Caenorhabditis elegans: one gene and its partner. The protein of the gene in region 1 purifies or fractionates together with the protein of each later gene. This does not show direct contact. Each region holds a gene or a part of one and is shown in the gene's direction. Other genes may lie near its edges.

Evidence for each region.
Region 2: the proteins of elt-2 (region 1) and acdh-7 purify together in Caenorhabditis elegans (affinity purification with mass spectrometry, with the first as the bait; one large-scale study listed by BioGRID). This does not show direct contact.

What each region holds. Positions count from the first base shown.
Region 1 is NC_003284.9:10,479,217-10,482,971, forward strand, and holds the start of elt-2 (Transcription factor elt-2), read left to right. Parts: upstream 1-2,023; 5' UTR 2,024-2,024; coding exon 2,025-2,166; intron 2,167-2,216; coding exon 2,217-2,315; intron 2,316-2,358; coding exon 2,359-2,485; intron 2,486-2,529; coding exon 2,530-2,670; intron 2,671-2,764; coding exon 2,765-2,933; intron 2,934-2,978; coding exon 2,979-3,076; intron 3,077-3,122; coding exon 3,123-3,496; intron 3,497-3,660; coding exon 3,661-3,725; intron 3,726-3,755. UniProt on the Caenorhabditis elegans protein: Transcriptional activator that binds to the consensus sequence 5'-[AT]GATA[AG]-3'. Predominantly directs the transcription of intestinal genes such as ges-1, cpr-6, pho-1, ftn-1, vit-2 and lev-11, and itself.
Region 2 is NC_003284.9:17,215,461-17,219,215, reverse strand, and holds the start of acdh-7 (Medium-chain specific acyl-CoA dehydrogenase, mitochondrial), read left to right. Parts: upstream 1-2,110; 5' UTR 2,111-2,113; coding exon 2,114-2,542; intron 2,543-2,606; coding exon 2,607-2,737; intron 2,738-3,117; coding exon 3,118-3,547; intron 3,548-3,755.

The sequences.
Region 1 (3,755 bases):
ATTCTCAACGATAATGTTGCCATTTTGTCCTGATAATTTTTTTACTGATTGTTTCAGAACACCCATAGTTTTTCTCTATTAAACGTTCATCCTTGACTTCCCCGAGTTTGCTGGCTGAATAGGAAATTTGAAGACAAAAAGGAAAGAATCGGCTCAAACGTCATGCAACTGATAAGGCGACCGTACTTCATTTCAAAAGAAGCTCACTTACTGAGCGCAAACATTGAGAAATGAGAGCAAAAGAAGTGGTTTTACAACATGCTAATGTTTTTAGACCTTGTACCCAATAATATTACTGTAGTATACAGTTCGGAGAGCATATGGTTGAAATCTTGAAATACCAATTTATCACTAGTTTGATTGTGTTATCGATGTATAAAGATATATTTTATCATTTTTGATTATTATCTGATATTGTGGGGTGTGAAGTAATATTATGTGCGTGTGTGGCTGATTATCGAAAAAAACTGAAAATTATCAATTTTTCTACAGGTTATCTTTTTTTGTTTTATTTTTCATTATTGTATTCTTCATACTCCTTATCCTGCCCGAATCACAAAAGTTCCAGACAACTTGAAGGTCGCATCACGTTTTGTTTATAAGAATGTTGAACTGGTCAGCTTTGGAGACAGAACTGTCCTCCAAATGTTGAATATGTTTCCGTAAAACACACTGTGTAACAAAAAGCGTACCCTTTGATCCGGTATTCTTGAAAAAAAACATAGAAGGGCGTACTTTTCATATCTCACAAATATGCGTTTTTTATTTTATAATAATATCATTTATTGATAATTATATGTATTTGTATGTTTTCTTGTCTTTAAAATTATGGTGTGACATCACAGTTTAAAAATTATATGAAAACTAATGAGTGAAAAGTTAAAAATGTATAGTTTGCCGTATTTTCTCCATTAGTATTGTATTCAAAACTTATTTCCAATTGGTGAGCACTATAAACTTTGTAGGGTAATTGAGGTTCAATACTAATTTTTGAATATCTAGCTTTTGACAAATTATTCAAGTTTTGACAATGATGCCTTATCAAATTAAAAAAAATTACCATAAATTCTTGAAAGCTTTTGATTTTGTTTCACTCTGTGAAGGATAGTAATTTATCAACATTTTAACTAGATACATCTGTTCTGGCAATAAATTAAAGCAAGACTATTACTATGTGCAGTATTAATAGCTGCATTGCAACTTGTTTGAAAGTTTCAGTGAAAACGCAAAAACTCAATTTAATTTTCAAGTTTGTTTGCAAAATTGGATATATGTATCCATCAAAAGTCTGATCGCCTGTTTTATCTACTTATTGTCTCCTCAGTTGATTTTTTTGTAGTTATTATAAACGCTACTTTGAAACCAATATTTTCTTCCTCATTCCACTTTTTTCAATTACCAACTACCGTACATGCAATGATGGGCGGACCCGAGTCCCATGTTTGGCTGGAAGTGGGTGGTTGTCTGCGTATATGAGCGACAGAGGTCGGGGCTGAAACTGATAAGAATAGTCGACACTAACGCCATAATCGCTAGCCAGCCATCATGCACACCGAGCTCGGTGTGCACACCATCTTTCTTTTCAAACCAATACGCTTTGTGCCTTCATTGACAATTTTCTTTTTGATAAAATCAGCCTATCTATACTTCCCAATCATTTTTAGTCTTATCGTTGAACAGCTATCGAGGTGCCACTGTTTTCACTGATATCTTCTAAGTTACTATGGCATTAACATCTTTGTGTTCTTATTTTATGGGTTATTTTAATTAATTTTTGCAGTTAATTTTTGGAATGAGCAAGAAAATGTTAATTGTAATATCTTCGTCTGAAAATTGTCTTCAAATAGTTTTAATTTTAAAGGCAGTATTTAAGAAAATACACTTCTCGAAGCATTTTTGAATTTTTGAATTTTTAAACTGCTTGATGTTTTAGGTGCCACTGTTTTCATTGATAAGTTTTGATGTATAAATGCTTGATTTTCTTGGCATTCTAATAAAATAGAAACTAGAAAATAGATTATAGAATGGATAATAACTACAATGATAATGTCAACGGCTGGGCCGAAATGGAACCATCTCAACCAATGGGAGGTCTGCGCCTACCAACTCAGAACATGGATCCACCAGAGCAAAATAATGAGTCACAATTGAGTGAACTACCGAGAAGTAAACAAAACACTGAAATGCTTGTGGATTATAAAATTATAAAATTTCAGTGAAAATTGATAATGATTACGCATCTCCAATTGAACGGCAAAGTGTTATCACAAGTGGCACAAATAACTATGAGCCGAAAGTGGAAACTGTTACATCATGTAAGTGTGAATTCAAGTTATTTGGATTAATTCTTCCTTTTAGTTTTCCATACTGGCATAGACTACTCAAACTTTGGAATGTTGGACCAAACTACCATGCAACCGTTTTATCCTCTTTACAGTGGAATTCCCGTAAACACTCTTGGAACTTTTTCGGGATATACAAACTCGTAAGTCATGTTTTCAAGTTCTTACTTTCATATTCAAACTTTAGCATATACGACAAACCCTCTCTGTACGACCCCAGTATTCCTACCATTAACATCCCTTCTACTTATCCAACTGTGGCTCCAACTTACGAATGCGTCAAATGCTCACAAAGTTGTGGGGCCGGGATGAAGGCAGTAAACGGAGGGTAAGCTAGAAAAATTTCGATGACTCAATAAACTACCGGATTAATATGTGCCTGTACACTGTTTGGAAATAAACTACAACGAATAATTTTCTAGAATGATGTGCGTCAACTGTTCAACACCAAAAACCACGTATTCTCCTCCAGTCGCGTATAGCACTTCTTTGGGACAACCCCCGATTCTGGAAATACCTTCAGAGCAGCCAACTGCTAAAATTGCCAAGCAATCCTCTAAAAAGTCAAGTAGCTCAAATAGGGGGTCAAACGTAAGTTAAAGTTCGTTTGCAACAGTGTACAACAAATCAATACAGGGATCTGCGTCCCGTCGGCAGGGACTTGTGTGCTCCAATTGCAATGGTACCAACACAACTCTCTGGAGAAGAAATGCTGAAGGAGATCCGGTCTGCAAGTGAGTTTTTTTTTTTTTTTTTTTTTTCTAATGGTTTGTTTTTCAGTGCTTGCGGGCTTTACTTCAAACTCCATCACATCCCTCGGCCGACCTCAATGAAGAAAGAAGGTGCTTTACAGACAAGAAAGAGAAAATCAAAAAGCGGAGACTCTTCCACACCATCAACGTCACGGGCCCGAGAAAGGAAGTTTGAGAGAGCCTCTTCTTCGACCGAAAAGGCTCAAAGGTCATCTAACCGGCGTGCGGGAAGTGCAAAAGCAGACCGAGAACTGAGCACTGCTGCCGTCGCAGCTGCGACTGCCACATATGTGTCACATGCCGACTTGTATCCCGTTTCCTCAGCTGCCGTCACCTTGCCAGATCAAACGTACAGTAATTACTATCAATGGAACACTGCCGCTACAGCTGGGTTGATGATGGGTACGTGATCAACTTTTATAAAATGAAAACTACTAACCTTGAAATAGTACTTAAAGTATGGTATTAATGGTGGATAGCGTTAATTACAACAAAAACATAACTTCATAATATTGCATTCAAGCCCTCTAAGATATTCAAGCTTTTCAAAGTTTATTTTATTTCAGTTCCAAACGATCAAAACTACGTGTATGCAGCAACAAACTACCAGACTGGCCTAAGACCTGCCGATGTGAGTATGAAGCTGTTTGCCACTTCCTCG
Region 2 (3,755 bases), 6.7 Mb from region 1:
AACCAGGTTTGAGGGCCGCAGGCCCGAATACTGTTGAAAACTGTGGGCTGGCTTTGATCCTATTCTAAGCAGATATGTTATTCACTCAAGCCTAATAACCAGGTTTGAGGGCCGCAGGCCCGAATACTGTTGAAAACTGTGGGCTGGCTTTAATCCTATTCTAAGCAGAGCAGGCTGTAGGCCTGCGACGCGGTTGTTATTTACTCAAACCTAACAACCAGGTTCGAGGGCCGCAGGCCCGAACACTCTTGGAAACTATGGGCTGGCTTTGATCCTATTCTAAGCAGATATGTTATTCACTCAAGCCTAATAACCAGGTTTGAGGTCCGCAGGCCCGAATACTCTTGAAAACTGTGGGCTGGCTTTAATCCTATTCTAAGCAGAGCAGGCTGTAGGCCTGCGACGCGGTTGTTATTTACTCAAACCTAACAACCAGGTTTGAGGGCCGCAGGCCCGAATACTCTTAAAAAATTGTGGGCTGGCTTTAATCCTATTCTAAGCAGAGCAGGCTGTAGGCCTGCGACGCGGTTGTTATTTACTCAAACCTAACAACCAGGTTTGAGGGCCGCAGGCCCGAATACTCTTAAAAAATTGTGGGCTGGCTTTAATCCTATTCCAAGCAGAGCAGGCCGTATTCATGAGTTTTCCTTTTCCTTCACCGTTTTTTGTAGTTCACAGTGATGATTGAAAACACGCTTATTTTATTGAATACATTCAAATTATTCTTGAACAAAATCTCAGCCTAAGTTATTCGTACAGTGTCGGTCCTGGAGCAATGAATCAAAGTTTAAAGAGATTTCACTTTACACAGTAAGAGCTTCGAGGCGAAGCCTCAAACCTGAATAGTCAAGTTTTCTAAACATATACCCACTCCTAAAATAATTTCAAAGAGATCTCGAATATCCCGTTAACAGGTTCGAGGCGAAGCCGAGAACCTGCGCCAGCTACCTTGCTAATAACTTAGAGCGAATTAACCCTATCCCCATTCCCGAAGGGCTGGCGGGCCCATAGGCCCGCTAGTCGACAAATTAAGCAAATCGGCAGATTGCCGGTGTGCCGGAAATTTTCAATTCCGGCTGTATGCCAGTCTACCGATTTTCCGGACAATTTCATTTTCGGCAAAATGCCGATTAGCCGTTTGCCGGACATCAATTTACCGGAAGTGGCCAAAGGGATTTTTGAAATAAAAACAGATGTAGGAACATTCATAGGATGCCTACAATTTTCCCGATTAAAATTGAAATTTAAAAATTTCCAAGAAAAAATTTCGGGAATTTGCCGATTTGTCAAAAAAAAACCCCACCCCTTACTCAAATTTTTGCAATAGAATTATTTCAAATGTATAATGTTTTTATTGTCTATACTTCTGAGTGAATCGGAAACTAAACTCTTATTAGCTGTTTTTTCTTTCTCTTAATCCTGCGTCTCATTGTTCATGAATTGTGGATATTTTTATTTATAAACATTCTTGGTATACTTTTTTCATTGATTTTGAATAATAGTTGAACATAAAAAAACTGCTCAATTAAAGTACCAAAGTAACATTCATACGCTCCGAAGAACATGCACCTATGCACTTTGGACTTTATAGTGACTACACTGTTGCCATGTGGTCATTTACCTGCGTTACACCATCTGCGTCTCGCACTCTCTTACCACAACACTCTGCCAACACAACAAAGTGCCACACCTGACGACAGTCTGCGGACCATCGATCCCCCCCCCCCCCCCCCCTCCCCATATCTCGCATTCATTTCTCTTGAGTACACCACCCCATTTTCGCAGTTCTCTGGTTCTTTCTGTTTGATCTCTATTAATCTCATATTCTTCTAAATCATTGGCAGTTTTTCCCAAAACAGTATCAAAAGCGTGCCATCCTTATCACCTCCGTGACTTTCTTATCCATACCCAACAACAAGTAGTCTCCGCCCAAGCGGGCCAATTCTCCATCTCTCTCTCTCTCTCTTTACCTTCACAAAACATTTTTCTCTTGATGATAGCAGCAGACGCCACATACACCGTGTGTGTTCCAATTTTTTGTTGTTGTCTTTTCCTCAATTACTAGGATTATCGATTTTTCATAGCAAACTCTCAATAAAGTTTTTTTCAGAAAATGCTCTCCAGAAACTTGACGAAATGCACGCGTCTGTTCAGCACCACAAACAAGGCCATGTCAACCGGCATGGACTTCCAGTTGACCGCTGACCAAGCAGAGTTCCGTGCAAATGTTCGCAAGTTTGTTGCCGATGAGGTCATCCCAGTTGCCGGCGAATACGACAAAACCATGGAGTACCCGTGGGAGATCATCAAGAAGGCTCATGCACAGGGATATCTGATCGCCGACATTCCAGAAGCTTATGGAGGACTTGGAGTTGATATGGTCTCGAATTGTATCATCAGTGAGGAGATGGCATATGGATGCTCGGGTATTGCTACCGCTATCATGGCTAATGATCTTGCACTGACCCCGCTCATTTTATGTGCCAATGATGATATCAAGAAGAGATTCCTTGGTAGAATGATCGACAATCCGTTTGTGGCGGTAAGTATTTTCGAAATATACTTGAGTTCTTACGGTAAATAACACCTAATCAATTTTGTTTTAGTCCTACGCCGTCACCGAGCCAGGAGCTGGATCCGACGTCGCCGGAGTCAAAACCAAGTGTGAGAAGAAGGGTGATGAGTATATTCTCAACGGCTCAAAGATGTGGATCACAAACGCCGGACATGCTAACTGGTGAGTGAGTTCCACGTGGTGAGGATCTACGTCATTGTAAAGTCGGGCAGACTACAATGATTGGTCGACTACACAAAACTTGGACTTTGTACCGCTAGACGTGGAAATGAGAGAGAGAGAGAGAGAAATGGAATAGAGAAAGAAAGAATGCGACAGGAAGATGAAGAACCCTCGTTTTTCTTATCAAAACGTGTACTTATAATCAACAGGTCAAAGTGCAATGATTCTAGGAGACGCGAGAAAAAAGGTCTACCGTAGATATTGTTATGGGCCACTGTAAATCCATAAATATGCTGAATGGAGCATTCTGGAAAAATCTATCTGAAAATAAAATATTTTGTCGCTAAAAAATTCACAACATTCCTACGCTCTTTTTTCAGGTTCTTCGTGCTTGCCCGTTCCGACCCAGACCCAAAGACCGCAGCAGGAAAAGCCTTCACCGCATTTGTCGTTGAAGGGGACACCCCAGGACTCACCAGAGGACGCAAGGAGATCAACATGGGACAACGATGTTCAGACACCCGTGGTATTACCTTCGAAGACGTCCGTGTTCCAGCCGCCAACGTCGTCGGAGCCCCAGGAGAGGGATTCAAGGTCGCCATGAAGACATTCGACAAAACCCGGCCAACTGTTGCAGCACTTGCCACCGGAGTTGCTTACCGCTGCTTGGACGTCGCCACACAGTATTCTCTGGAGAGAAAAGCGTTTGGAACGCAAATTGCCAACCATCAAGGAGTGTCGTTCTTGCTTGCCGAGATGGCCATCAATTGTGAGCTCGCTAGATTGATGACCTACAAGAGTGGTGCAGAGGTAGGTCAAGCAGAATCAAATCAAGCTTTTTGAAGGATAAAATGTTTATGTTAAAATGGGAGGCGCCCCGTAAATTTACAAGTCCGCAAACACCATGACGCATTTGATGCAGCAGGCAGAACATCACAGTGATGTACATAGGAATATGAGCATAAAATCGGTACTATTATAGGAAATTACAAAACGCTATACGAACTTCAAATGCTGA